3 linked regions of the Arabidopsis thaliana genome follow. The protein of the gene in region 2 interacts with the protein of the main gene of each other region in a pairwise test. Each region holds a gene or a part of one and is shown on either strand. Other genes may lie near its edges. The genes, in order: AT5G63710, KUP10 and AT2G30020.

Region 1 (10,707 bases), on a different chromosome or scaffold from region 2:
AATCAAAAGGGGAAACAGTGAAAGATAGAAGAAATAAATAGTTTATATTCTAGGGAACATAATTCTAGCTATTCAAAGAGTTTGTCAATGGTTATATATAAGAATTAACACTGTAACATGGTTTTAGCAAAAAAAAAAAAAAACACTGTAACATGGTTATACTCTAGATGGGCCAAAAAGCTTCTGAAACATATATAGGTTTTGAATGGGGTGAGAACTGAGAAGTGATATAAAATGTGAAAAGATTTTCTGAAAAATGCGATAAAATAGGTTGAGGGGAATGAAGCCTGGTCCGAGAATCATTTAGAGTTTTGAGTTGGGTTAACGAATTACTCTCCATGACCTCGAGCCAAACAACATTCCTCTAAACCCTAAATCGCTTCACTATAAGAAGAATAAGATGAAGAGGACAAGAATGTAAGCAACTTTATGTAAGTAAAAAAGAAGAAGAAGAAGGAAGCATGTGACAGGGCAAAGAGACCCAAGTAGTCTCTTCTATTTATAGAGAGGACAAAAGATCTAAGCCCTAGATTTTTCTTCTGCATTTTTTTACATCGATTTAGTAACTTTGGTTTAATAGGTTTTGGTTAATTTTGGTTATTGTCTTTATATGGTGTGTGTAGGGTTACCTAAAATAGAACTTTACAGTGTAGTCGAGACTCGAGAGTGGTAAAATCCGACATACTTCGAGTTAGTACATTCAAAGTTCAAACCATTTCCATGACTAGATTCAATCTCCTTTTTAAGAAAATATCTACAATTGTCTTTAATTGTTTCTTGTGTATATTTAATTTCAGTCATTTCCGAGGCCAACAGCAATCTTCCTCTTATTTAAAATCTCTGTCAAGTCTCCAAAAGCTTTTATCAGAAGGAAAAAGTCTCCAAAAGACACATGTTGTAATATATACATCAAGGATTGAGTGTTTGTCTTTAGTACCATATACGAAGTAATGAAAATTCATAGTTTGAACAATTTTGTTGTAGTTTCTAGACCGAATATTATTGATTTCTACTGCAAAAGTTACATGCTGTAGTTATAGGATCATTTTTCCTTTCTGAATATAAGTGTCTAATTCACAATTTAAAATAAATAAAATATTATACATAATGGTAAATGTGCATATAATATGTCTAATGGTATTGAATGCAAGACAAGTACCTTCCTCTCGATTTATTATTACCTTATTATTGCTTTTGGCTCCACCTCAACGACTTACTAAATTTTGTCTTTTTTTTAGTTATAAATTAAAGTAGTATGATTTACATTTCTTTTTTTTACCAAGTCATGTATATACTAATACTAATACTGGTTAGAAATGTTTTTTTTCAATGTTATAGGTTTTATACTAGTAACAAAATCTATCTATACTAATATGAATCATGGTTGATATATCTACTATATTTTGAATATCATCCCACTTTTTCACATGATAACTCTTTTTTTTTCAACATGTAAAATATGCATACATATTTTTTTTTGTAGGGAGTAAATATGCATACATATAGCTTGTAACATTGTCTCCCTATTGATTGCGTATTTAATAAAATTTTGCATATAAAATTTTTTTTTTGGGGACCCGTTGTTTGTTATTTAGGGTACGTCTGAGAGGCTCAGGAGAAATACCGAAGAACACGTCATAACAAACCAAAGAGATAGAAAAGGAAAACGAAGATCTGGACGTTCATTCATAGTTGAATCGGACGGTGGAGAAGAAAGTTACCTGGGAACCGGACATGTCGGTGTCAGCGGAAACCAAGCACCAAGAACCGAGAAAAACAGCCCGGTTTACGAGGAAGTTAGAAAGGAGTTCTCTTTTTCACTGACCGCTTACGTCTGTCTCCGGTCCCATTCCTTGCCTCATCCTTCATTTAACGCACCCAAAGTACACAACACCAAAATTAACAATCTGTATTTTAATACCAGAGGATCTAGAGTTTAAGAATAAATCTTAATCCATGAAAGTTCTGTTCTTATGAATCTACACTCTGAATCCATGTCACTACAACAAAAACATCTAGATTTGTTTTGTTCTGTCACTGTATCATCCCTTCCAATAAATCACTAGTCTAATAATTTCATGAGATACATAGACTGGACAATTAGTTTTCTTGATAGTACATCATTTACAATCTAGAAACAAGAATACTCGACGTGCAGAAAAAAACAAGAATACTCGACGTAAAATTAGCCATAAACAATGTCACAAGTGGGGTAAATTGTTAGAATACAAAAGTTGAAGGTAAAATTGAAAAACCAACTAAACTTCAAGGACTGGATTCAGAAGTTTATAATTTTTACGGGACACACACGAAACGACGACGTATGTAGAAAAACAGAGCAAACACTGCCACCATAACAACCATGATCATCATTATCATACGAAAATAACCAAATTCATATATATACAAAACACAACTAGTTATGTATATCATATCATCTATTACACAAATCAACGTTGTGTGTTTGCTTCGTTTTCCCCACCTGGTTCAATACAATTAGCAGCTTAAAATACTTTCTAAGTTTATCTTCTGTAATGCAAGTTTGTTTTCATAGATATCTTTCTCTCTCTGTTTCTTCTTCATCTTGCTGTCGATAATCGGATAGATTCTTGATCAACGGTGGTTTCTTCTTCATCCCAAGTAGCCGGTAAAGTCGGAAGCAACAATGCTTCTTTGTTCCTAACTTCTTCAAGTTGTTCCCATTCAGTCCATTTCTCAGCCAAACCACCAGTCCCTTGAAGCATTTTGACCACTTCAGACATCGCTGGTCTATCTTCTGGTGAGCCTTGTGTGCAGAGAAGAGCCACTTGAACGATTGTTTCAACTTCTTTGGAGTCATATGTAGTCAAATTGCTATCAACAATGTCTCTAAGTCTCTGTTCTCTAAGCAACTTCTTTATCTGTTTCATACACATCCAACAACTTAAGATTAGTTTCAAGTCTTTTCAGATAGAAGAAAGCATGTAAAAGAAGTCAATCTTACATGATCAAGCAAGAGAATATTTTCCTCTTCTTCCAAGCGTGAAAAATCGATTGCGCGCTGACCAGTAACAAGCTCAAGAAGCGTTATACCGTAACCAAAAACATCGGTTTTTTCAGATGATTTTCCTGTGCAGAGATACTCTGGCGCAATGTGACCCATTGTGCCTCGGACTTGAGTTGTGACATGAGTCAGAGATGTGTCCACAAGCTTAGCTAAACCGAAATCTCCAAGAACTGGCTCAAAATTGTTGTCTAAAAGTATGTTTGCAGCCTTGAGATCGCGGTGTATGATCTTCGGGTTACAATGTTCGTGTAGATACTCTAAACCGTGAGCTGAACCAAAAGCTACACGCTTCCTTGTTGGCCAGTCTAATCCTTCCTCTCCCGCTTTCAAATCTACAATGTCACATATGTACACACACATTATAGAATCTATTATTTGGTTAAGTGATAGAGAAGCTAAGTATATATACCTCTTAGTCGATATGCAACACTAAGATTTTCCATGTATGGATAAACAAGGATTCTCTCAGAGGAAGTTGTGCAGAAGCCAATAAGGCGTAAGAGATTTTTATGAACCGCAACGCTTATGAGCTGAATCTCTCTTTGGAAAGCAGCTTCTCCTCCAGGACTGAAGTAATCCGCAAGGCGTTTCACTGCAACTTTTGTTTTGTCTGGAAGCAAACCTCTGTATACTTTACCAAATCCTCCTTGTCCTATCAAATTGCTCTCGTTGAAACTATCTGTTGCGAGCTGGATTTCACGTAAAGAGAATCGTTTTAGTTGTCCAAAGGAAATCTTCCTGTCATCTTCCCCTGCATTTTTTAAGGAAAAAGGATATTGGCTCAAGAGTTCATATTGATCTAATGAGATGTTTGACTATAAGTATATGTAACTTCTTACCAGCTACATCAAAAAAGATGTCGTATTTGGTTCTGCGGACGCGATGGTGATGATACATAACCATTGCTCCAAGGAATAAGATTATAGAAGCAACACAACTTGCAGTCAAAGTAATGTCTCTCAGCTTTTTCTTGGAGGATGTGACTGAACATAAAGATACTAAGTTAAGTCTTTCTGTTTGTATGTGAATTGGAGAAAGAAGAAATAATTAAGAACCTGGAAGACGAGAACTTGAAGAACAAGGCTGATTCAAACTTTTACCGCATATAAGCTGAGTTCCTGAAAAACTGCAGAAAAATCACAAAAACGTGATTATAGTACTGACAAGTCACTGTGACTAATTAGGTAGATTCATGAGGAAAATAGTTTTTTTTACTCGAATGTTGGGATTGAGAAGAATTGTGTTGGGATGCTTCCTGTTAAATTATTGGATGAGAGATCCCTGTGAATTAAATTTCAATGTTTTATCTTAGCCAAACGCTCTCACAGAGTCACATTTCAAAGATTGTTCCTAAAGAGTTTTTGAGTGGACTTACAAGTGCTTTAGATTCGAGAGCTGACTCCAGCTCGCTGGTATCGATCCGCTGAAACTATTCACTGATAGGTTTAAAGTCTGTAGATTAACCATGTTCCCAAGAGAATCTGGTAAGGCACCAGATAAACTATTGTTCTGTAACTCTCTGCATCAAGAACAATTACTATGAGTAATGGAACCTAAAAAGAAACTTGTAATGGAATTGGTTTATGATCTCTTACAAGGTAACCAAGAACTTCAGTTTTGTAATAGCTGGAGAGAGTGTTCCTGTGAATCCACTCGAGGCAAGATTTCTACAGATTGATACAAAACAAGTTTTTCAACATGATGAGAAATCTTGGTAACTAAAACTTGAGAAGTGATCTTTAAGAGTACTTACAGAGCCACAACACTCTGGCCTCTGCAGGTAACATAAGACCAACTATAGCAAGGGCTCACAAAATCGCGTGTCCATTTTAGACGATTGCTCGAATCATTAAGCGAATCTCTGAGCTGCAACAGAGCTCCTCCTAGCAAATGAATCAAGAAGCGAGTTAATACTACAAGATCATTAATGATTTATAAACAAAGGCTAATTATATATAGACCTTCGATATCTGGTTGAGTTGTTGACGAAGTGATTCCCACAAAAGCTAAGGCCATGAAACATTGTAAGATCAATTTCTGATTGTTCCATCTAAAGCAATTTCTTTGAATGAATCCTCGAAGAGGATCATGGAAACTTTCACCGTTCCCTGCAGTTTATTAAATCAGTCAATCTCAGTTTAAACAGCTTTTCTTTTCTGCTGCAGAATCTATAGTCTAAATTGCAGCAAATCGATGGAGAAAGTTAACTTACTATACAAGAAACACATAACTTGTGTGATCAAACTATGTTAACTAAACATAAGAAAGCAAAGAAAAGAAAAGACCGATTTGTGGGTCTAATTATGTCTTAAAAACTAACAGCTTTGATTGCTTTCTGATGTGAAACATTGTCAGATCAATCCATAACTCCTCTATCAGAGCTCATTTGAACCGAAAACATTAAGAAAAATGAAAGCTTATAAGTATCAAGAACAACAAAATTTATAATTCTGTCTTTGACTCTTTGCTTTGATGATCAAAAACCTCTCCGTTTCACCTAAATATGTACCAAATATTTTGTAACTCGAAACTAAAAGAAACAATAAAGTTATGTAAAATAAACAACAAAAACCAAGAAACCTAATTAATATACAATGGAGAAAGATAGGCATTAAAGTATAAGTAAAACAAAGCTTTTAAATACCCGAGTGAGCCATAGAGGAGCTGAAAACACTCTAAACGGAAGAGAACGAAAACATGGGGTTGAAGAGAGAAATGGAGGATTTGTATAATAATGAAGCCAATAAAAGCAACAATAATGTAAAATCATCTAAAGAAAGAGAAGTTAGTGCTTATAAAGGACCCACAAAAGGTATTTTTCATATTTTTATCTCTATGATGTAAAAAGAAGATGAAGAAATGCTGCTTTGAGAGAAAGAGAATCCCACTAAGTTGAAACATCTTTGATTTCTTAATGGAGGTGTATTTTTCCATCTTCTTTTGCTTCTTTATTTTGGGTGAGATCTCTTTTGCAAGTGTGTAACTTGGGATGTGATTGGGGCTAAAAAGGATATCAATTTTAACAAAAAAGGATATAGATGGCCCAAAATAAACATAAAGTAATAAAGAATGATTTAAACGAATTAGTAATAGAAAACAAACCAATGACTTAATTAAGAACTTAATAATGTTTGGGAAAATGGCTTATGCTTTAGGAAGAGACAGAAGCATGTGTAAGAAGGTTCCACACTTCCACTTGTTCGTGTTATATTACTCCACTATTCTGGACGATGACAATGCAAAAGGGCGTTTTTGTATATATTCCTTTCTTCTCTGACCTTCAAATCAAAGGATATGATACAAACTAAAATAGTTTTAACATAACCTATAACTATATATATATATATATATATTTAACTATCTGTTTTTGAGTAAATAAATTCAAACATTGAGAAGTTTACATTTTTAACATTTATAAGGTAAGTAATTGATCTTTTGATATCCTTTTAAAAAACAAAAAAAAAAACAAATTTAGTTACCGCCTTTCAAAAAAGACGTAGTAAAACATCAATGTTTAGAAAACTTTAGGTTATTTCCCTTAAGAGCTATGTTGAAACATCATGTAGAAATGTAGGCAGAAGAGAAAAAAAGATAGATATTTTTAATAGGAAAATTAGGTGAAGAAAAGAGAAAGAGAACATAATGTGAGGAAGAAGAGACTAAGAATATATACGGAATAATGATATCAATACTAATATGCTTGATTAGTTGGACATGTTCTTATGCTCCTCCCTTTATATGTTGTCATACGATTCTTCACCTTATTGAGACTTTTGTTCGATCTGCAAAAAGATCTGATGATCATATCTCAATCTAGAACGTATATTTCAAAAGTTAAATTTCATCAACATTCACAAATAAAACAAACTCAAATTTATTTTCTATTTTTATCAGGAAAAAATGAACTTAGGTAAGTGAGAAAAAAGCCTTCAGAGCAAAAAAAAAAGAAAGAAAGATAAATTTGAACATTGTGAAACCAAATGCCAGATTACTTTTCTTACTTATTAAAATCTTATAACTTGTAAATGATTTGTTCATAAAAATGTTATAATTAGTAAATTAATTTTAACAACAAATATCACTTATAATCCAAAATTTAGGTAAAGACAAAACTTGGTTCGATATCTTTTGTACTTGCGAGCATTGTACTTCCCGGTCACAAAACGCAATCGCTAAGTAAAAAAAAAAGGTCCATCTGAACGCAAGACTTATTCAATTTACGAAATAACCCCTATGAAACTGTGTTTAATGGACACGTGTCCTGGATACGATAGGGGTATAATAGAGACTTTAGGAAAGTAGAGGTTGGCGTTTGGGTGATTGGTCAAAGCGAATCCTTAAGAATCTAGTAATACTGACACAGGTCACTCAAACAGCTATTTATTTGGCTAATTTTCAGCCTTAATATCAGAATTAGAGAGATAAGTTTTTCTTCTTCTTGCTCTGTCGCCACTAACTAGGTCACCGCCAAGTAACATCGGATCGAGAGAGAGAGAGCGATGGCGAGAGATATGAATGTAGTGGAGATTTTGGATGATGAGGAGGAGGATGAGAAGGAGTGTGAGGATTGGTGCTTTATCTGTAAAGATGGTGGAAACCTAATGCTCTGTGACTTCAAGTGAGTCTCTCTCACTTAGTTAAGCATAATGCTGCTGCTGCTTCGGTAGAGGATTAGTTTTTTTTGTTTGCTTGTTCTTTGCATGTTCTTGATTTCTAATGATGAAGGGTGTTTTAGTCTTTGTTGGGTTTTGCTTATATTATAACGAGGATTTGTCAATTTCAATGTAGGATTGTACCGAGTGAACATGTATGTTGTCTTATTGGTTCTTTTTTATAGATTTGTTTGTCTAAGTGGAAACAGGAAACTTTGTGTTCTTCACTAGGAAAGTACTTCTTTTTCAATCAAGTTACTTTTGTTTATTCAAATTGACGATTAGGGGATTTCGTTTGGAGGCAGTGATTTATGCCAAAAGAAGTCATTTCCTCTGAATGATGAAGCTATAAAAAATGTTACTGCTTTGGTTTTTTTTGATGATTCTTTCATATGAATGCGCTTGAGGAGAGACATTGTGTATTATTCTGTAGTTAAAGGTATAAAGATGTTTCTTTTTTCTTTAGTTCATTAATTAGGAGCTTAGGTAATGTAGCAACATTGACTTTTTCCTTCTATTAAATTGCAGCAGATTGTTAATGTATGATTTGCATGAAAATTAACAATTTCATTATGAAAAGATTGTCAAGATGAATATTAAAGTATTGTCAGTTTGTCAGTACACTTGTGATATTTAGTCTAGTTTAAATGTATGCATCTAACTGTGCACCTCATTGTGCTTGCTTGTTTCAGAGACTGTCCAAAAGTTTATCATGAAAGTTGCGTTGAAAAGGATAGCTCAGCAAGCAAGAATGGAGACTCGTATATCTGTAGTAAGTGCTAAAGTTTCTCTATATATATTTGTATGTTCATTGCAATGTTATTATCATTTTGAAGTAGTTTGGTTCCTTTGAATTGTAAGATATACCCCTGTATCTGTAGAGTGTAGATAAAGGTTCATATTTGTAGTCAGAAGGGCTAATTGTGAATTTTTCAACTTTCAGTGTGGCACAGTTGCTACTTGTGTAAGAAAACACCAAAGCTATGCTGCCTTTGTTGCTCACATGCTGTATGTGAAGGCTGTGTCACTCATGCTGAGTTTATTCAACTTAAAGGGGATAAAGGGTTATGCAATCAATGCCAGGAGTATGTCTTTGCTTTAGAAGAAATTCAAGAATATGATGCTGCTGGGGTATGTTTCAAACTGTTATTACTCAACTTTGGATAGTAGTAGTCTCTAACCTTGAAATTTTGGTTTCCATCCATTGCAAATAACTAAGGTGTTTAGGATTTGTAAACTCTGTATTAAAGAGATTTATGTCCATTTGAAACAAAAGTGAGTATGAAATTGGATGAATCTGAGTGAAACAACTCTAAAAGTTTCAATTAGATAATTTGGTTAGGCTTAGGAAAAGGATGAATCAACTACACATTTGGTATGTCTTATTGTATATGTCTATCTCCCAAGCTTGTCTTAAAACTTTTGTTTGCTTAACACTCCTTTACTGGTTTGGCAGGATAAGCTTGACTTGACAGATCGGAATACATTTGAGTGTCTGTTTCTTGAGTATTGGGAAATTGCGAAAAAACAAGAAGGTCTAACTTTTGACGATGTCCGCAAGGTCTGCGCTTCAAAGCCACAAAAGAAAGGTGTCAAGTCAAAGTACAAAGATGATCCCAAATTTTCGCTTGGTGATGTCCACACTTCAAAGTCACAAAAGAAAGGCGACAAGCTGAAGAACAAAGATGATCCCAAATTTGCGCTTGGTGATGCCCACACTTCAAAGTCAGGAAAGAAAGGCGTCAAGCTGAAGAACAAAGATGATCCCAAATTTTTAGTATCTGACCATGCGGTTGAAGATGCAGTTGATTATAAAAAGGTTGGCAAAAACAAGAGAATGGAGTTTATCAGATGGGGTTCAAAGCCTCTCATTGATTTCCTAACGTCCATAGGGGAAGACACCAGAGAGGCAATGTCACAACATAGTGTTGAGTCAGTTATCCGCAGGTACATTCGTGAGAAAAACCTGCTTGACCGTGAAAAGAAGAAGAAAGTTCATTGTGATGAGAAGCTGTACTCTATCTTCAGGAAAAAGTCTATAAATCAGAAAAGGATTTATACACTTTTGAATACTCACCTGAAAGAAAACCTTGATCAGGTGGAGTATTTCACACCTTTGGAACTTGGCTTCATTGAAAAAAATGAAAAGCGATTCAGTGAAAAGAATGATAAGGTTATGATGCCGTGCAAGAAGCAAAAAACAGAAAGTTCAGATGACGAAATTTGTGAGAAGGAAGTGCAACCTGAAATGCGAGCAACTGGTTTCGCCACGATCAATGCAGATAATCTAAAGCTTGTTTATCTACGTAAGAGCTTAGTCTTAGAGTTGTTGAAGCAGAATGATAGCTTTGTGGACAAAGTGGTGGGAAGCTTTGTGAAAGTGAAGAATGGCCCTAGGGACTTTATGGCGTACCAGATCTTGCAGGTTACAGGTAACCAAGACTTGCATGTCATGACCTGAATTTCTCTGATCCATGTCATGATCACTGCATCAGAATCACTGTCACACCTGATATTTTTCCTTTTCTGTTAGGCATTAAAAATGCTGATGATCAGAGTGAGGGCGTGCTTCTTCATGTTTCTGGTATGGCAAGTGGTGTTAGCATTTCCAAGCTGGATGATTCTGACATAAGAGAGGTGAATCATGTCTGAATTGAATTCATATTTTACCATTATATTTCCTTGATTTTGGGATAAAAATATGACAAATCTGCTGCAAATGCTGATAAAGTATATTTATAATATTCCTCCTATGTGACTTGTTCTTATTCATGATCTTATATTTGGCTGGTCAAAAACTTCGTAGAAGCTAAAACCTCCTCTTGTACACATTCATTTTCAGGAAGAGATTAAAGATTTGAAGCAAAAAGTGATGAATGGTCTTCTGAGACAGACAACTGTTGTAAGTTGTGTATATCACAAGATTTGGTTCTCTGTTTATTCATTAACATGACGAATCCTCTGGTAAGACAGAGAGGTAGTTAAATCATTTGGCATTTGCATTCTCAT
Region 2 (11,067 bases):
TCAATGCGTGTCTATATGTATTAAATTTATTAGATGTTGTTGTCAAAAAGATGCATTAAATATATTTTTTTCCTTGGCCAGGTAGAAGACTAGAGTATAGTGACTATCGACAATCTTTTTCCAAGGCACCGTGAACGTTATCAAATTAGCTGGTATTATTAGCTTGTGTGGCTTTACTGTGACGTATAAAAGTAAATCAATACCAATAATAAATACAATCAAAAGAAGATTTGAAGTTTTTTCTTCTATAAATGATTTTCACTAACAAGCGTATAAGATTATAATTTGTCTATATATGATTTCATTTACAACCGTATAAGAATCACTTTAGTGGTAGTGTAGTACACTAATACTAATATACAATTTGCAAAATTGATCGTCATCTTTTACCTTTGATTGTATCCGTTTGACGTTAACTAAGATTGGAGTCATATATTGGACTTACAAAAAAAAATTCACAATGAACAGTCTTAAGACCATGTCTATAAAGCCTCTCTGATTAAAAAGATAAGAAATTCAGAATCCATAATCAAGACTAAAAAAAAAAGGATAAGAATCTCAACATTGTGACTTGTGAGAAGAGATTGTCTAATGAGAGCATCTCCAATGGATGCAAAATGGAGTTCTCATTGTTGGTTCTCTTGAAAAAAGAGTTGAAAAATAAATCAAAATGGATTAAAAGAGAGAGAGCTGTCTCTCTTGAGAGAGTTTTTGAGAGAGATGAGAGACGATGACGTGGTGCGTTATCATTGGTCAGTTGGTTTTAACAAAACAAGCAAAAAAAAAAGCGTGAAAAGAACCCAAACATTATTTCGTTTCCCCCAACTCTTTCTCTCTCTCTCTCTGTTCTTTGCTGAAACATGCGATGCCGATTGCTTCTGATTTCTCCTGTGATTGAGGTCACAACTGAGGCTGCTGGCGACGATTGAAGGTAGTACTGAGTGTTTGGGCAGAATTCATCATTTGCAGAGCCGCATGTCACGATCGGAGTGAGAGAGATGATGCAAATCGGAGATTCATATCGACCTCTGGAGAGTAATCGATGAAGGAAGCTCGTAAATCGTAATTGGTAAGAATCTACTTCTTTTTTGTTCTGTCAGATTGATAATCCATATAGGATTTATTTCTTATAAACGTTATGTTTTGGCTTCATTGTTTAAAGCTTCTCCTGATTCTATCTTGATCATTGTTTCTAATCATATCGATGTTTTGACTTACGTTGCTTGGAAGCTCTCTGGTTTTCAGGTGAATCGAGTTCTTGGATCTGGTATACTAATCTTCTTGGTTCCGATTCTTAATCGCAGATCATCTCGATGTTAATGCTCTAGATGTAAAGGTCAGTTTCTATCTAAATTAGGGGTTTGTGTAATAAAGCTGTGCTTTTTTTGTTTATAGACTGCGATTAAGGAGTGATTAGCTAGTTTTTATATGGTTTAGTGTGATAAAAATCTATGCTTCTGTTGTTTAATACTGCAGCTACAGAAGTGTAGAGGAGTTTCACATAGACTTTCATCTCAAATACTTATGGTTCTTTGCCTTATTCGTTTTCAGGTTATCTTTGTGTGAAGAAGTTGCAGGTTTTGGTTTGAAAAATTGCAGCTTTTAATTTTTTGAGTTATAGATTGCAGGTTATTTGCATGTTTTGGTTTGAGAAATTGCAGGTTTCTGCAAGGTTTGGTTTAAGAATACGAAGCAGCACTACCTTCTTTCCAATAACTGAAAGATAGTGAAGATGGAGGTTGAGTTGTAGGTTTCATGAGTTGCAAGTGTTTGATGAGTTACAGTTTTTTCTTAACAATGATTTGAGACTTTGGGTAGTTGCAGGTTTTCAATTTGAGACTTTGAATTCATATATCAATATTCCAGTTTGTTTTCTGCAATGTTTCAGCCATATCTTAACAAAGTTTAAAAATCTTGAGTTAGTTCTTTGTGAGGCAGATGAAATTATTTCAACTCAGATATTATCATATGCAAAGATGGCAACTAATCTCTCCCTATAGACCGACCATATCATGATTTTATTACACTAGTTGGTTGTTTGACAACAACATCAATAGAATTTTTCACACTATTACAACAATTTCAACATCAAACATTTCAACATTTCGATTTCAAAATCAATAGAATTTATTTTCTGAGAACTCTACAAAGAGAGACTACCATTGGACTTTACAAAACTAAAAAAAATAACATAAGTTCTCATCTCTTCAATTTTAAAATTTTATTCTTAAAAAAATGGTGAGAGTCCCCTAGGAGGCTCTCACCATTGGAGATGCTTACAGTCACATGGTGAGAAGTGAGAGAACTTGGAAGAAAAAGTTTATTTTGTAGAGTACAACTAAATAACTAAATAAAGTATTAATCATTTAACAAATATGGCCTATTAGCTCAGTTGGTTAGAGCGTCGTGCTAATAACGCGAAGGTCACAGGTTCGATCCCTGTATAGGCCACTTTTTTATTTTTGGTAATCCACAACTTGAAAAACTCGATTTGTGATTTTTGGGGCTAATACAACATGTGATTTATATCTGTAATATCTGACTCGATTTGTGATTATATTATATGGTCACTAACCACAATTATTTTCTTTAAACAAGATATAATCAAATGAATCATGCCTAACATTTTACATGATATATTACACATAGAAAATCTGGCCAACATTTAAAAGGCTCTCCTGAGGAACATTGAAGATGGCACTGTTTTCTCTACAAATCTTCCTAAGAAACGCATAAACATAATCAATGGCTATCCTCTTGTAGAACCTTGCCTCTCTCCTGGCTCGAACCACTGTGTTCCCCATTATATGCACCACTCCTGCGTCTCTGCACCCGTTTATGAACTCCACTTCGTCCCCTCCTCCGCTCATTTGGCTCGACCCCGTCACTGTGTGACTTGTCCGTTTTGTTGTAGTGGGAGCTATAACCGACTCTATAGAATCAAATGTATCAAACGTCGACACGTTCCTAATCTCGTTCCCATTCCCGTTGACCCCATCTCTGGACTGTCGTTGTTGGCTTCCGCAGACGCTGTAATCTTCGGAATCTGAGCAGCCTTCCATCATCGATTCGAGGCGGAGGAAAAGGAAGAGGCTTTCAAAGAGCCGTTTCTCAAAGTCGTCATCTTTCTTGTGCAAGTCTCTGTATCCGTACCTCGCAACGCAGCGGAACATGTGAAAGTTTTTGGGTCCGATTCTTTTTACAAGGAACCGTTCTTCCTGGGGAACGGTGTATACGGGAAGGTTCTTGACGCAGACAAAGATCACGACAGAGTGAGTTGCCGGCAGGTTTGTGATGAAATGAGAGAAAATGTGAGGGACTCCACTAGCTAGCTCGGTGTAAACAAGGCCAATCCCAGGAACACGGACAAGACCAAGGCTAGGACCGAGTCCGAGAATCCAAGCCATGGAGACTTTACTATGCATTTCAAACTCATACCTCTTGAGGGTTCCATAATGCCAAACATACATGATGACAAGAAACGCAGCCGCAATGACCAGCGGAACCCATCCACCTTGGTTAACCTTGAAGAGCACCGCCGAGAAGTAAGTGCATTCCACAACAAGGGATAGAAGAGTAAATAAGAGGACTAGAACCCAATGGCATCGCCAAACAAGTATCATGATCAGCATCATGAGAAGCGTTGTCACGAGCATGACAATCACAACTGCAGTCCCATAAGCATTTCCTATCTGGTTCTGGTTCTTGAATCCAGCAGTGACAGCTATGCAAAGGATCATGAGGATCCAATTGATGTCTGGAACGTAAATCTGACCAAGGAATTTCCGGGAAGTATGCACGACTTTAACTCTCGGGAAACATCCATGAGCAAGAGCTTGCTTGATCAACGAGAATGTTGCGGATATTGTAGCTTGGCTTGCAACTATTGCAGCAGCAGTTGCAATTATGAACATTGGCCAATATACTCTTTCTGCAACAACAAAAAACAAAAACAGAAACTCTTCTCTAACTTTGTCCAGAGACATCCATCGATAGTACGAAAATTGATAAGAGATATATATAACAAACTTGGAATGGATTGATAAAACGCGTCTTCGACATGATGCGGGTACTTTCTAAGGTATGCAGCTTGTCCACTATAAGCCAAAAGGAGGCAAGGAAACACAATTACAGTAAAAGCGAATTGCACAGCTGAGACTGGAAAATGAGAGAGATCCGCAAAGAGAGCTTCAATCCCTGAAATATGATGGACATAACAAGAAAATATGAATATCATAAAAGATGAAGAAAACGATAAACATTTGATCAGTTTCTTTACCTGTGATACTAAGCATAATGCCTCCAAGCGAGGTCCAACGATCTTGGCCTCCTCTTTTAAAATATCGAAATATATAAACCGGGGAAAACGCTTTCAAAACGCTTGGGTCATGTTTCCATATATTGAACATACCGATACTTGCAATAAAGAGAAACCAGAGAAATACAATGGGCGCGAAAAGCCACCCGACTCTGTCTGTTCCATAATGTTGTACACTAAACAAGCTCACTAATATCACAACAGCCACAACAACAACAATACCTGTAACAACAATCAAAAAACCTAGATTGATCAACTATCATCGCTAGCGTAAATGGGCACTGTAAAACGAATGATTTAACGTAATAATCAATACCGTTGTTTATATGAGGTAGGTTTACCCTGAGCCCACCCGCAGCAGATAGAACTGCAACAGATTAAACACGATGAAATACTATCCCGGTAGAAAAACAACAAAATGTATATATTTGGAAGGTCAATGAATAATACATTACCCGAAATGGCGGGAGTAAGGATTCCATCGCCTATCACCATGCACGTACCAACAAGAACGAGAATAAGTAGCGCATTTTTCCTAGAGGTACCGTTCTCTAACCATCTCTTGGTTTTTGCAGCAAAAGAACGCTCATGAAATGTAGTACGACTATAAGTAGTAAGCTCTTCATCAGTACGGTGTTGGTTCGGAATTGTGCTAACTTTTGCATGTCTACAGAGCAAAGAATAGAGAGCAAATGTACCACCTACTCACCAAACAAGAGACAATTCAACAAAAAAACAATACGCATAGCAAAAGCCCTGAAGCCGTGAAATGTAATACTACCTTGCCCATTATCGTTTGCTTTGCATACAACGAACACATATTTGAGGAGAGGGATGAGTGTGAGGGAATATATGATTAGCGATAAAGCTCCAATGATATCTTCAGGGTCTTTGATCCCTCGAGGAAATGTATTATAGAAAACATATAGAGGAGAAGTTCCCAAATCTCCATAAACAACACCAAGACTCTGAAATGAAAGCTGCAGAAGCAAAAACGCCGAGAATTTCTGCACCAAAACCGAAAACTACATTATATCCCCCAAACTACAAAATCTTCCATATAAGTCTCTACAACAGTCTTATAGCAACAACACAACACTCAGTGTTTAGCATCACAGAGCAACTAAAACAGCCAAGATTTATCAAGAATTATAATTAAACCTTTTCTCTATACATGTTCCTGAGGCGACCAGCTTCTTCATCCATAGGTTGATCAAGTGACTGATCCAAATCCCACATACTACCTCTCTCATCACCTTCTTCATCAATCTCACCACCACCAATGGATGATTCTACTCTCCCCGCCATTTCTTACTTTCTCAATCTTATCTTTGATTCTAAAACACAAAACCCTTTTGTTGCTATAAACCCAGAACCCTAAATCCCCTCTATAACTTCAAACCCAGATCTTCACCTAACCCAAAACCTGAATATAACCTCGAATTTGGAATCACCACGTTTCAATTCCAATTTGGTGGATTCGAAATTCTCAATTAACAGAGAACCTACAAATCCCTAAAGGAGAAATAAACATTGAAAATTCACAAAGTTTACACAAAAAGGCAAACATCTACTTATGTACTGCATCCCAATTTGAGTAAGAAATTAAAAAATCGATCCTTTAAACAAACGATTAAAGGTTTAAACTTTTTTCCTGAATTTGCAAAATCAAAATTCGTCAAAGAAAAACAGAGAACCCCAAAAACCCCTATGGAGAAAGTGAAACAATTTGAAATTCTTGTATAAAGAAGAAAATGTTTTCAACGTTATGGAGCATTTACTTTGGTGGGGCTCGGTTCAATTCACAGACTCAAATTACACAAAACCCAAGCGAAGACGATCGAAGTTATCGGGAAAAAGCAGAATTGGGTTTTTTGAATTTCTTCGTTCTCTTTTAAAAACGAATTTATTCAGCTGGTGATTGATAGGAACTAAGAACTAACTGAATTCCTGTTATTTTCTCAGAGAAAGTTCTCTGATTAACAGAGTAAACAAATCAGTTTTTTTGTTATGGTGAAAGAGAGAGAGAGGGAAGAAGAACTGGGGAGGGGATATATGATTACGACAACGACGAGGATTGAGAGATTTAATTAAAAATATAATTAGCGTTTTTAAAAATTATATAATTAAACTTTATGTCATTGTATTGAAATTGTATTATACTAAAACTGTCTCTGTCTTTTGGGGACATTACCTAATTTATTTACGTATATTTAAATTTCTATACAAGGCTGTCAAAAAATAAAAATACCAAAAAATTATTTACAAGTTTATATTCCTATAGATGAAATAGGGAAGAATAAAAAAAAGGAATAGTAACTGTATTTTTAATTTGTTAAAAATATTACAGAAACACAATTGATTTGTGTTGTTATTTTTATTAACATATATAATGTGGAGTATAAATTATTAGAATAAATAAATAAATTGGACAAAAACTTCGCTGCCGGCTTTGCCGCTAGGACTTCAAGCCCAGGTAAATTCTCTTTGAAGAACAAAACTTCATTTTTCCAGCTTTGACCTTGTGAGATTTTTTAACTTCGTTTAAAAAAAAGCATAATTAAGGTCAAAGTACACTGTTCTATCTCTATCATGTGGTCTCGTACTTTACCATTTTGGGTAACCAAAATAAAATGGAAATTAGAGTTCATCAAAATTTAATTTATTTATTCCTTAATTATATTGTGTATCATCTTGTAATACGTATTTATATGTTCAAACTTCAAACATTAGACATTTGACTCAAAGAAAATGATGTTCAGAAATAGATAAATCGCAAACAAGATAATGCTTGTTTAACAATACATACACCCCAAGTATTTTTTTCTCTCTTTTTTTAGTGTTTTAAAAAGACACGTTATCTGATAAATCTTATCATCAAATGACATTCTTTAAATCGAGGATGTGCAGTTAACTTATTGGTGTAATCATGTACGAATTTTTTTTAAGTCTATAATAGTACGTAATGTTTATAGCTTCTTCTTAAATATTTGACTAAACTTGATCTCAGTTGAGGATCTTCGACTTCGAGTATGTGCTAAAGATAAACAAATAATTGTGTTATCTTGCGCGTAATAACTAATAAGAACTGTGCTATATGTTTGGCCATGAAAATCAAAATATTTATATACTAAAACAAATCATTAAAAAAAAAATAAAAAAAAATCATAACGTGTCCTCATTTTATGTTGGTAACAGGTAAGATAACCAAATTAAAATTACGATACATTTATCAAAAAAAAAATGTTTCCAATTAAGTTATTTACTTTTCATGTATATGTGCATGTGTGAATTAAAAGATACGATTAAAACTGTTTTAAATTTCTTTATCTATGATTAGAACTTGAAATACATAAGAAACTTTAAAATCTATAGCCGTAATTATCATTTTGCGATGTTTCAAAGAAATGTCTAATAACACTCTCGATCGATCTTAGATAAATTATGATAAACAAGCTAAGTTAATGTCCATTTGGTTACTAGCTACCACTAGGTTAGATAGCTAAAAGCTAGCATTCAAAATTATTTAAATGACATTTTCATAATAACAAGACAGTCTTTTGAAAAAAAAAAAAAAAAAAGCCTTTTGCCTATGAATTTTAAGTTGATGCTTTGTATTTTTCGAATTTGTTTTTGTTAAATTGTAAATATTTCATTGAAAATGAACAAAATTTAGGTTACAAACATAAAATTTGAAATCTATACATATGGATCTATGGCAAAGAAGAATAAAAACATAGATGCATAAAAGACGGTTAATTAAAAACTAAATTTTCGATCCATTTTCTCAATCTGGTATTGAAGCGAGAGAAGATTTTTTTTCGCTTCCCTTGCATGATGCAACAAACTTTTCTTTTCGAATTAAAAGTTTCAAAGTGACCATGGACTGTGACAAAGTGTGTATCATAAAAAAAAATCTTGCCTACTCTGATGATCAACCTCGAAGTCTTTTAAAAAAAAAAGAAACTAGAATTGTATGGACTCATATGTTACTACGATATGTACATGCACGTGTTTGTAACCTAAAATTGACAGAATGAGACATACAAGACAGCTGATACGGTAACCATAAGTGGTCCTTGCCCGGAAAAGAAAAACAAATATGAAAAAAAACAAAGCTGGTCCAATTTTTATCATTATTTATTATTATATTTCGTTAATTGGCTAATTACAACAACATAGATAATAAATGATGTTTAATTACAACAACAAAAAATACACCTTTTGGTTCTGGAATATCATAATATCATTATTTTCTCCCATTATTTTATATCATATCACTCAACTCTTTTATTAAACATAGACCAAAGTAACAGCTATTTATTCATGATTTTATCACCACATTACTTTTGCAAATAAGAAAATAATATTTGGGTATCTAGAAGGTTAATCCAAGTTTCAAACTCCCATGACGTGTTGGTATTGTTACTGATACGGCACACGTGCATCACGAGTTATGAAGCAAAGAGGCAAACGGCAAACAAATAAATAAGATATAGTTTTGAAACCAAACGACCAAAACCCCTATTTTCTTTTCGCGGGCACCACTTTGAGGTCATATTTGAACTCCATACAAAAGGAGCTTGTGAACTAATTAAGTGCACATCTTTAATAAGTTTGTCTTTTATCAAAGTTTTAGGTCCTTGTTCAATAATTATTCGTTGTGTTTGGGGCCGCTCGCTGATAAACCTATGGTACGGTAAAAAAAAAGTTTCTATCTAGAACAGCTCTCCATCTCTTCAATTTTGCAAGAAGACTCCAAGTACTACTTTACTAGTATCAGCTATATCAGGGACATGCATTAGCTTTCTAGGCATTTTGGTGTAAAGGGATTTATTAAGAGTTAAGATTCGAGTTGAGACTAATTAAGTGTGCTATCATGCTTGTCCAAAAATAGTATTCATTATGAATAGACAACCCACATCAGTTTAAACTACATGCTATAGATACATTATAGCTTATAATAGTGAAACTATGGATGACAACCCACATCACCATGTACATGGGTGATTTATTTTGGGTATTAATAGCTCAAAAATCATATTTTAATTGATCAAACTATGAATTTGGGCCTGATTTGTATCAGTGAACTGATATCTTTGATACTCAGTATCAGGTGACGTGACAGCATACGGTTGGTCAGTATTTTCACTCAAATCAGAAGAAATTTTTTTTTTTAGTAATCTTATGTTTTACTATATTAATTTCTGATTTTGTAATTTTTTTTTGATACTTAACTGGTCTCACCAATGCAAACATATTTAGTAGGAATATCATAAAAATTCTTAAATAATAAATAAATATTATAAATAATACTAAAAAAATACTTATGATACTATATGAGTATCACCCATATACATGCTCTAACAAAATCAATACAAAGAAAATCACTACTAGGAAGTAAGTTCGAGAACTGCTTGTTGAAGGTGCTCAGGAGATGATTGGTTAGAATAGTCAGAATTCACATTATTGGGAGTTACTATAAAGAACCTAACTGTGAAGAGAAAGGATGGAATCAAAACAAAGATAAATGGAATCACTGGTTTTTTTTTTTTTTTTTTAAACAATTTCAGAATGTTTCAATATCAGAATGTTCCTATGCAACGGAAATGTGAGAACCATTAACAACGACCATCTACAACACAAGCTATTCCACGGACTGGCAAACCATCATTAACGTCGTCTCAAACAACTGGCACGATCGCATCGCAGGCTTTCTAGCTCGTTGTCTACTGCAGGTCTCAATTCATACTATTTGGCGAGAGTGCAATGAGCGTAAACATGGTGCATCCCTGAATCCATCAAGTCGGCTAGTCGGGTGGATTGATAAACATATTCGGAATCATTTATCGGCTATCAAACATAGTGGAGATCGAAGATTTGACACATGTTTTCAAATTTGGCTTCAAACTCGAGGGATATCATAAGTGGGAAACTCTTCGTAAATTTATTGTGATTTAAATTTAAAAATTTAAATTCTCGGTAGCACTCGTTGTAACAACTTTGGCCATTTCTTTTTAAATTTAATTTAACAGAAAATTCAAAAAAAAATATATATATATATATATATATATATCGAAATCCATGTCCTTAATGCCACTTATCACATTTTATGTCCCACAAAGACAAACTTGAGAAAACAATTTAAAACCATTTAATTTGTCATTCAATTGATTTGGTCGACTTAAATCGGATTAAATTTTAATTAATATGTATAGAACGCATTGCTGATTAACATAAAAACTTTGACGTATAATTTTTTAGGTTTGACCATTCGAACATGTTAACTAGTAATCTAATTTTCTGTTTTCGTTAACTAGTAATCTATTAATCGTGTACGTATCTACATAGCTTAAAGCCTAAAACTAATATGTTTTAAGTAGTTACTCTCTATCTAAATGCGTTAAGAACTCAGAAGTTTAGGCTTACTCTGAATAATAAAATGCATAAAAATTAAAGAGAACATTTTTAAAAAAGTCGACATTTCAAAAAAAAAAATACAATTGAATAGACCAAAACCTAACATGAACTGTCACAGCATGATAATGTGATAATATACGAATCCTATCAAATCTACTTTGGGTTAACATTAATTAATCCCAAAAAAAAATATACTTTGGGTTCTGTGTAGTTGTCATATGTTGTCTTATTACTAGATTTGGTTTTTACTTCAGGGTCGTTTTTGTTTCAAGTATAGTGTACTGTTTTTTTTTTTTTTTTGATAGGTATGGTGAACTGATTTGGGACCA
Region 3 (9,240 bases), on a different chromosome or scaffold from region 2:
TTCATGAGTTGACAAAACACTAGTTAGTAATTAATTAATTTATTAAAATTATTAAATACTTTTTCCTGCTTCGATACACTTGCCATCTAATTACCTATGGTATTTACTTAATAAAAAATACGTCGCTTTATGAAAAAAATCCGCCGCAGCTTATCGCATATAAAGATAGATATATATTTATGTTACGAAAAATTATTTTATTTGTTTGCTTCTGGGAAGATCTCTGCCCTTCCGTGAACGTGAAGTACTATATTAACGGTCCACCACTTGTATGGATATCCTTTAGATTAGAATCCAAAAAATAAGATATTATTTTAAAGATTTTAAAGGACCCATACCATATTACCAAGTTACAGATCGAAACAATCCACTTGGAAAACATATTAGACATTGCAAGTGCAACATGTCATTCATTGGTACTAAACTTTAATGTTCTTTTCTAATCGAATTTGACTCTATATATGTATGACATGTTGTAAGTATATACTTACTCGGAAAGAGAGAAAAATCTATAGAAATCAAAGTGAAAGGTAATCAAGAAACTGTTTGACATTAAGGCGCGTGGTTTTAAAGACTAAAAAAAATGTTATGAATAATGAAAAGAGAGACATTTGATTAAGATTATGTTGATTTGCTTTAAAATAATATTTTTGGGGTACTAAGGATCAAAACATAGTAGAGACATAAGTTGCTGTTTATGTTGATAAGTGTCGTGAGAGAAGAAGACAACGACGAAGCAGAAAAAACTCGAAATTAAGGTGGCCGACAATACAACATGCTTATGTTATTGCAACTCCGAAGAACCTCTAACAACATCATCATCTTTAGCTTTTCTTTTATAGGATTGATTCAAGATCATGCACACTTGATCTTCGTATCACCAAGATAGAGATCCGAATGGTAGTAAAAGTGGCAGCAATACAAATCGAGCAATATCTGGATGTCCGAACTTCGAAGCATTGCAAGCATAGTTGAGGCAGCATGGGTTGTCACTATGTTATGTAAACGGTTTTTCCCGACTAGTTCCGGACCGCATGAGATTATAGGTCAAGGGTCCAAAAATATTTTGTTGACAAAAAAAAGTTATGTGAATTGTATTACAGTTTAAATGTTAAAACAAATATATACTTTAACCAAACTTTTATCACGTCACATGTTAATATTTAATTTGAAAATTTTCGTCGTCTTAATTTTTTTTTTGTGTGTGTGTTTTTTTTTATAGAAAAAGTTGTAAGCAAATTGTTTAGTTTTGATAGATTTTAATTTTTTCCAAAACCCTCAGAAAAAATTACGCTCTCATTTAATACTTGTACTGCATAATTTTGGTGAGGTTGTTACTCGACTTGTAGTTGTAGGAGAGTTAAAGAATCTTAAGTATTTGAAAGACTGACAGATATAATTTTTTTGGAATACACCATATTAAATAGAGCAATACATGAAAACATAGCGATTGTCAACCATGAAAAACGTCAGAAATTCGTTGGAAACAAGCTTTTGTTCCAAATTCATTAGTATCATGATTAGTCTGTTAACAGTTTTGCACTTTCCTTGGTGTAGCTCTCTCGCTGATAACCAAATTGTGGATTGCATCGATCATCTTGCCGAGATAAGCTCGGTCTCACATTGAGATAAGTGAATCCTTTACATGTGTTCCTCCGAATCCGTTTAGCTTTCTTTTTCATTCTAAATCGAATCGAGTAACAAAATGAGAGGTGTCAAAATTTCGATCCAAGGTTCTTCCGCATATATCATTACAACAATCTAACTTGAATACCATAGTTTAAGCAATTAAAGTCAAATACATGTGGTGCTTTATATTATCGGTTATATTTTCTTCTTGCACTAAATTTTCAAATCGTCGATTAGAGCTGAAGACATAATGATAAGGCCAATGCTTCGAATCAAATAATGCGAGTGAATTGTTTGCACGTATCTACGATTCGCTTCCATTTCATGGACTATTTTTTTGTGTGTCTAACATTAATTTACGAATTACATCGCGAAACAAATTGCTACAAACAAAGTAAATGGCTTTAACTATAGATTCTTATTTTGACAAAAAAAAAAAAAAAACTATAGTGTATTAAATAAAAAAAACGAGGGACCACACGCAAAACACCGATTCTAACTTTGAAAGAATAGTAAATGCCAACCAATGGCCAGTTGTAGTGGACGAACTCTGTCTTAATTACATCGTGAATATTTAATTGCATGCGAGTGTGGTTTATAGTATTATTGATATTTTCTTTGTTTATTTAGTTAATTATTATGGGTTTGTTAACAAGTCTAATTCAACTACTTCTTTTCAAGCTTTATTCCTCTTGGAAAAAAAAACTGCCCAAAAGATAAAATAGAAATTGACTTGTAAAATAACATAAAATAGACATTGACTTGTAATGAGATGAAAATAGAGTTAAAAATCATGATTTTCACAATTAAAATATGAAAAGATACAGGTAAAGTTAGGTTGTAGGGATTAACTCAATGTGGATCATGTAGGTCATGGTGTTATTTGTTAGGCTTTCATTCATAAATTTGTTTTTGAAAAAAAAAACAGTGAAATAAATGAAACTGATAGATGGAAGCTAAATTAAGTGAACTAACACAACTTATGTTACATTAAGTTTAGTTACACTGAATCGGTAGAACACATGATGTGTGTGGGACTGAAATGCTAATTTTCCGGAGATTTGGTTTGGTAAAGTTAAATACGAGAAGAAAAGAAATTAGAGTTGGAGAAACAAAAACAAGAACAAAAGAGAAAAAGCCGAACAACGTGCCGTTTTTGGGGTCCATTGGAAGACAAAAAACAACAACGTGTTCTCCGCCTACAACACAAAAACATGTGTTTGTAATTCACGTGTTGTTTTTACGTTCTTTCTTTGACCATTGTCTTCTTCCTCTTTTCACAAACTCAATCTTTTGTTTTATTTTTCTTATCCTTTTATCGGCTTATCCATGTCGGTAATCATTATCACCGCACATATTTGTTTTTGCTTGTTTCTTATATGTACATAAAATGTATATGTTCAATTTAATTTGCACATCATTTCACTCTTGTTAATATGTAATTCATCGAAAATTATGGTTCTTAATCCATGTCAACATTGTCACAATTAACAACATTGTTAGGATATATATGTCAACCACAGCCAAAATTCTAAGTGGTTTGTATTGGTCTCAATGTCTAACCAGACTGAATGTGAAAAACACGAAAATGAATAGATTTAACGAGATTTTAACTAGTAGACAAAATAAAAACATATCTTACGTTTGCATGAAAACAGATTGAGAATTTGAGATCCAAGACCAAAACTAATTAAACTACACATGTGAACAAATAATATATTTTGGGCTATTCGGGTTTGTGTCCGGCCCAATGGTTTATGTTAGCCTGTCAAACTTGAGGACTTTGTTTGTTTTTCTCCTTTTTCCTAAGAAAACTCTCTTTATGGTTGAACTTGTTTTCTCGATCAACTTCTCTTGTACCTTCGTTCCACTTTAAAACAATATTGGCCGTGTGACTCTTTGACCAGGATCACTTGTCATGTCGATTTCTTTCACGTTGCATCTCAATATGAACTTCATGTATGTTGGAGTTGTGAATTGAAATTCATCAAAACAAGGAATCTTTGATTCAGATTGAGTCAATCTCTTCCAAGCACTGTGTTGGTATTGTACTGTAGAGAAATTTGCAGGATCTTGAAACATATGACAAGATATATAACGAACCGATTATTAGATTAATTTCGGCCAATGCTCGAATCATACAAGTAATCATAAGCCACAATGAGTTTAGCTTTGTTCACTAAGTTAGAAAGAATAAATAAATGAATGGATCAAGTTAAACAAAAGAACTAAATCATATAAAACCTCCAAATTTCTAACGTTTATCATATATCTAAAATCTTCTAAGATGCCTCTCTTTTCTATATGAACTGGCGTAAAGGGATCAACATCACACTGATATCATCAGACGAGCCTCGTGAAGCAGATAAATCGACAAGCTTCTTACAGGCAGCTAACAACAATGGCTTCTCGGTTCCTAAGCAGAGAGGACGAGCAATGTCTACTGCTTCTTGGTTACTCACTTTATCCCATAAACCATCAGATGCCAAGATCAAAAACTCATGGTCATGCTCGATTCTCGAAATCTTTGTCTCTGGTTCAGCTATAACCCATTTCTTAAGTTGAGCATCTCCAATTCCTCTTGACACAGCTAAAGATCCCTGGATTCTCCAAACACCGTGAAACGTATCAACATATCCTCCCGTGGTTTCAATTCTTTTCCGTTCATCGTCTCTAGACGGGCGGTGATCAGAAGATAAAGCCTTAGCTACACCTCCTACACTCATAACAGCACGACAGTCACCGGCGTTAGACACAACAAGGTTCCCTTCGTTAACCAGAGCCGTGACACAGCATGAACCACCCTTAACGTCTTCCTCCTTAAGAAACGACGCGTCTGTTGCCAAGTAACCATGTTTCACCGCTTCAGCTATCTCAGACTCGTCTCTCTTACCAACTACTTCTTCTACAATGTTCTTATCTAAGTTCTTAGCTGCAAACTCAGCCGCTTTAACTCCTCCATGACCATCATAGACTCCGAAAATCGCCTGAGAAATTATCACAAAGCAAAACAACGTTTAGAATACACGATTCATCAATAAGCACACAATTGTTTCATATGATTCTGTAAAACTTCTAATTCTATTCAGAATTTCAATTTTCCCCAAAGAACCCTAATTTTAGATAGCTTATTAACCCAATCAATGTAGATCTCACATGATAAACCCTAATTTGAGCTGTAATTGCTAATCAATCGAATCAAAATCACCAATTCAATTCAATTCTAAACCAAAACTGAAAAATGAATTTGAAATTTAAAATTACCTGTTTACGATCTCCATGAAGATTGGTGATAGCAGAGAAACGATCCTCCATAGCTTCTCTTCTTCCTCTCTTACAATAAACAGAATAACCATCACCTTCTCTCTCAACCTCTCTACACTCCTCTCTCGGCGTCGCAGCCACAGCGGCCGATGAAGAAATCGGAGCTACAAATCCAGCAACACCAATCGGTATATCAAGCCTTGTAGGTCGTTTCCTCTTTAAAACACCTCCCGGAGGAGAGGATGCAGAAACAGATTCAGATCCAAAAGATAATGGACCAGGAGCGAATCCGGACGGAGGTTTCTGGAAACGGAGACGAAATGGAGATTTAGGAGAAGAAACGGTGGTGGATGGAGAGGAAGGAGAAGAGGTCTGAGGTTTGCGATGAGAAAGCGTTAGAGAAAGAGATTCTTGCGGTGACGAGAGAATCGAAGATTTGTTGCAGAATAGAGAAGACGACGGTGAAAACACCGGAGAATTACATACGGCGACGGAGCAAGACATCGTTTCTATATTTTGATTTCGATTTCGATGAGTAGAGATTTGTTTTTGCTGAGATTATTGTTTTTGTTTCTTCTCCTTCTGTTTTTTTTTTGTTGTGACGATGTACAGAGAGAGAAGAAGAAGGTTTTTAAATATAAAGGAAAGAAGAAGGTAATGAATATTGAATGAATTAGAGTCCGTGTTTATCGAGCTTTATTCAAAGTTTTTCAGTCTCTTTGACTTTGTAAATAACATTTATGCCCTTACAACTTTCATTTCCTTTATTTATGTTGTCCTTTTACTTTCTACAAAATGGATATTATTTTGAGGAAAACAAAATTAGCTTGAATCCTACTCTTGTTGACCAGTTTTTTTTTGTTGGCAAAATAAAGGAAAATATCATTTTTTCTTAATAATGAAAAATGTATATATCCATGAGATTTTTTATTCCAATATTTTTTCATAACCAAAATAAGAATCATTCAATTTTTGGTAACTTTATGTCAATTTAATAATAAAAACAAATTATGTCTAGTAGACTAGAACTATCATAAACAAAAAGAGGAGTATTGCAAATAAGAAGAAAGGCCCTTTGTAACGTAGAATAAAATTCAATAAAACACAGCAGATAGTACAAAAGAGAATGTTGGAGGGTAAAACGGTCATTCACAGTCTAAAATAGCTAAAACGATGAAGTAAGCGATTTATTGGGTTTGCTCTGTGAGGTTAAAACAGACATTTCAAATGAAGTCAAAAACACGTCTAAAAGGAAACGAATGCTAATAATTGGGCATGTGGGTAACGTATCTGTGTTAAAGAAGTGTTTCATTGATGACTCACTTTTTTTTTCTTCTCCTTTTTAAATTAAATGAAAAATAGAATCTTAAAGAATTTAAAACGACCGTTAGGTTCTATACGTCGTCGTTTTCATTGGATGAGTATTTTTGCTTGTCGTAGTCGCAGCTTCTAAGCAAGTGACCGTTGAGAGCCTGAAGAGGAGCCTTCGTTTTGTTTGTTTCCATTTGATGACCGTTGTGAATTTGTCAAAAAGTCTAATACATAAAGTTGTAATTGATCTCGTTTCACACGAGGTCTTCTTATTATTAAAATACAAGTCTTCTTCTTATTAAGAGAGTGTTAATTTTTTGAGTAATTTGTGACATCATTAACTGATAGTTTTGTCTTTTAAACGGTATTTGATATTCTAGAGTTGAAAAGGAATTGCAATGTTCTAGAGTTGAAGAAAAATCCATTAGAAAGTTTTTGTTAATGTTGTGAATTGTGATAGGGATGAATAGTAAACAAAGAAAAATCAGTTTTTGCAATATTATAAGACCAAAATTTCCTTATTAATAAGTATTTGCATATGATAAGACCAAAAATTTTACGTCTTATTATATTGTCATGCGATTAATGTTCCACTATTAAGCACTTTTAGAGAATGTTTTTCCGTTTGAGGCAGTTTATAGGAAATAGACACTTTTTCTATTAATTCTTTTTTTTTAAAGACTTTTTTACCCTCAATTCAATATTTATGTTTTTAATTCTTAATTTCTCTTTTTTGTTATTCCTCTTCCACGATCCTTACCCAAAATAAATAAAATCTCTCTCTCTCTCTCTCCATGATTTGTAGCGCCTCTCTCTCTCTCTCTCCACGTCTCCATAACTTTTGGAGAAGTTTCTTAAACAATTTGATCTCGATTATCTCAGGAATTTGGTAAAAGTTCTATGTCCATAAGGTATTGGAGGTGGGGTCTCTGCAAATTGTAAGAAAAATCAACAAACAATTTTTTGGTGTCCATAATAACGAGTCCATTTAAATATATCCATTCAGAAAACCTTTTACTGATTCATATTCATTCTATATACCATGTCCATATAACAGGAGATTCGATTAACCGTGGTTTGTAAAGAAACCAAAGTTCCATGTCCATAAGGTCTTGGAAGTGGAGGTCTCTTCAAACTGAAAGAAAAATCAACAAACAATGTTTTGGTGTCCATAATAACGAATCCATTTAAATATATCCATTCAAAAACCTTTCTACTTATCTATATTCATTCTATATACCATGTCAATAATAACAGGAGATTCGATTAACCGTGTTTTGTAAAGAAACCAAAGTTCCATGTCCATAAGGTTTTGAAGGTAGAGGTCTCTGCAAACCGAAAGAAAAATCAACAAACAATGGTTTGGTGTCCATAATAACGAGTCCATTTAAATATATCCATTCGGAAACCTTTTTACTGTTCTATATCCATTTTGTATATCATGTCCATAATAACAGGAAATTCGATTAACCGGAATCTCGATGCTACATAGATGAAACGAGTTTGACACATGAGAGAGAGCAAAAATCAAATCAAGCCGCCATTGTTGAAGAAGAAGATGTTTCTTAGATAATTGAATCTCAAATTTATATCAAAACAAATATTTAAATTGCAAAATAAATTACAATCTTAAAGAAACCAAGACCTCATATTCTCTAATTAGTCCAGAGAAAAAAGAAAGCCATCGCGTAGAGTGGATTTGGAGATTAATTGCAGATTTGGAATTGAAGATATTCTGGGAAATGTTTTTTTCTTCGATAAAGTGAGAAAAAAAAAAAATAGAGAAGAGATGGGAAAAGGAGAGAGAAGAAATGACCGATGGAAAAAATGTAGTTAAAGGGTAAATAAGTAAAATAATTTATCTAAAGTGACTTCTCCATTTAAAGTGCCTAATTAGGAACAAACTTTTAAAAAAGTGTCTAATCACGTAATATTCTCTACTACTAATTCATACCAAAAAAAAATGTTTGCTTTTTATCCTAGTACATAAGTTATTTAAATATTTTCGAATTATCTGATTAAATGACCTCAAAAACCGAAAAGAAAGAAAAAAAACTAATTTAGAAATATAGTGTAATTTTTCTCTTTCACCACTAAAACAAAATCTTATTTGTTCACTGTACACTTAAATACTTTTTGCGTCTTCTCTTTAAGAATACATTTTTAAAAAAGTATTGAAATGTGATTTTCATTTTTGTAGAGAATAATCATAGGCATATATATATCTCTATATACATAAACTCCGTTAGAAACAAGCGAGACCAAAATAAAACTATTACTTTCGACATGTGATGGCATTTCCGTGGGTTAGGCAATATACTTTAGAAATTGCAATCATAAATAACTTACAATTAGAAAATCATTACAATTATCAGTCAATCAGTCATAGTAATGATTATTAGTTATGATTTAATGCTGTTTATGTTCAACAGAAGACTAAGTCACATACAAGACTCCTCCTACTTGAACAATTGGACTTGGTTGTATGGGTATATATTTTTTGACCAAGTGGAATGATTAATCAAGCAAAGTAGGTTTCTTCTACTCCCTAATTAGGATTTTTATGCAGTCGTCTGTTGTTTCTCGTTGAAATTGTCTTCAATCTACTTTTTTCTTGTAAGTTTAAAAATTGCAACGTAATGTAGTTTTTTTCTAGCAACTATAATGTCATCTGCACAATAGATTTCATAAAGACATCTAACATTTAGAACTTGGACGTCCTTTAATTAGATCAATATTCAATAGTATTGCATCTGGATGGCCCATAATCTCTCAAATTAAATTTTGTTTCTCTTTCGAATCTAAATTAGGAAGATCCGTATGAGCAAAAAGTACTTAGGGTTTGATTGGTTCTCCCTCTGTCACCCGCAAACGCTGCGTTTGCAGGTGGTAGCGGTTATTAGCGGTTGGCACTAATCATAGAAACCGCTAGATATCGCTTTGTACCGCTCGAAATCGCCAGATTTCAAAAGCTCCTTCCCGCAAGCGTTTGCGGTTGCGGGCGGTAGCGGTTAGATTAAAAATAATAATAATTAA

Evidence for each region.
Region 1: the proteins of KUP10 (region 2) and AT5G63710 interact in a protein complementation assay, tested with the Arabidopsis thaliana proteins (one large-scale study listed by BioGRID).
Region 3: the proteins of KUP10 (region 2) and AT2G30020 interact in a protein complementation assay, tested with the Arabidopsis thaliana proteins (one large-scale study listed by BioGRID).

The regions. Positions count from the first base shown.
Region 1 is NC_003076.8:25,494,471-25,505,177, reverse strand, and holds AT5G63710 (Leucine-rich repeat protein kinase family protein), read right to left. Parts: upstream 5,668-10,707; 5' UTR 5,275-5,667; coding exon 5,259-5,274; intron 5,246-5,258; exon of another isoform or gene 5,155-5,245; coding exon 5,008-5,154; intron 4,930-5,007; coding exon 4,800-4,929; intron 4,714-4,799; coding exon 4,642-4,713; intron 4,566-4,641; coding exon 4,422-4,565; intron 4,328-4,421; coding exon 4,262-4,327; intron 4,173-4,261; coding exon 4,102-4,172; intron 4,030-4,101; coding exon 3,886-4,029; intron 3,798-3,885; coding exon 3,456-3,797; intron 3,379-3,455; coding exon 2,984-3,378; intron 2,901-2,983; coding exon 2,580-2,900; 3' UTR 2,347-2,579; downstream 1-2,346. Other genes in the region: AT5G63700 (zinc ion binding / DNA binding protein), read left to right, coding at 7,546-7,664, 8,391-8,470, 8,642-8,829, 9,155-10,130, 10,232-10,335, 10,541-10,600.
Region 2 is NC_003070.9:11,101,736-11,112,802, forward strand, and holds KUP10 (K+ uptake permease 10), read right to left. Parts: upstream 6,361-11,067; 5' UTR 5,627-6,360; coding exon 5,480-5,626; intron 5,326-5,479; coding exon 5,100-5,325; intron 5,020-5,099; coding exon 4,774-5,019; intron 4,686-4,773; coding exon 4,635-4,685; intron 4,541-4,634; coding exon 4,280-4,540; intron 4,198-4,279; coding exon 4,030-4,197; intron 3,932-4,029; coding exon 2,640-3,931; 3' UTR 2,502-2,639; downstream 1-2,501. Other genes in the region: AT1G31095 (lactate/malate dehydrogenase, NAD-binding domain protein), read left to right, coding at 1,043-1,055, 1,163-1,245, 1,477-1,527, 1,629-1,661, 1,889-1,909. UniProt on the Arabidopsis thaliana protein: Putative potassium transporter.
Region 3 is NC_003071.7:12,810,594-12,819,833, reverse strand, and holds AT2G30020 (Protein phosphatase 2C family protein), read right to left. Parts: upstream 5,564-9,240; 5' UTR 5,398-5,563; coding exon 4,894-5,397; intron 4,617-4,893; coding exon 3,930-4,616; 3' UTR 3,474-3,929; downstream 1-3,473. UniProt on the Arabidopsis thaliana protein: Protein phosphatase that negatively regulates defense respones. Inactivates MPK4 and MPK6 MAP kinases involved in stress and defense signaling.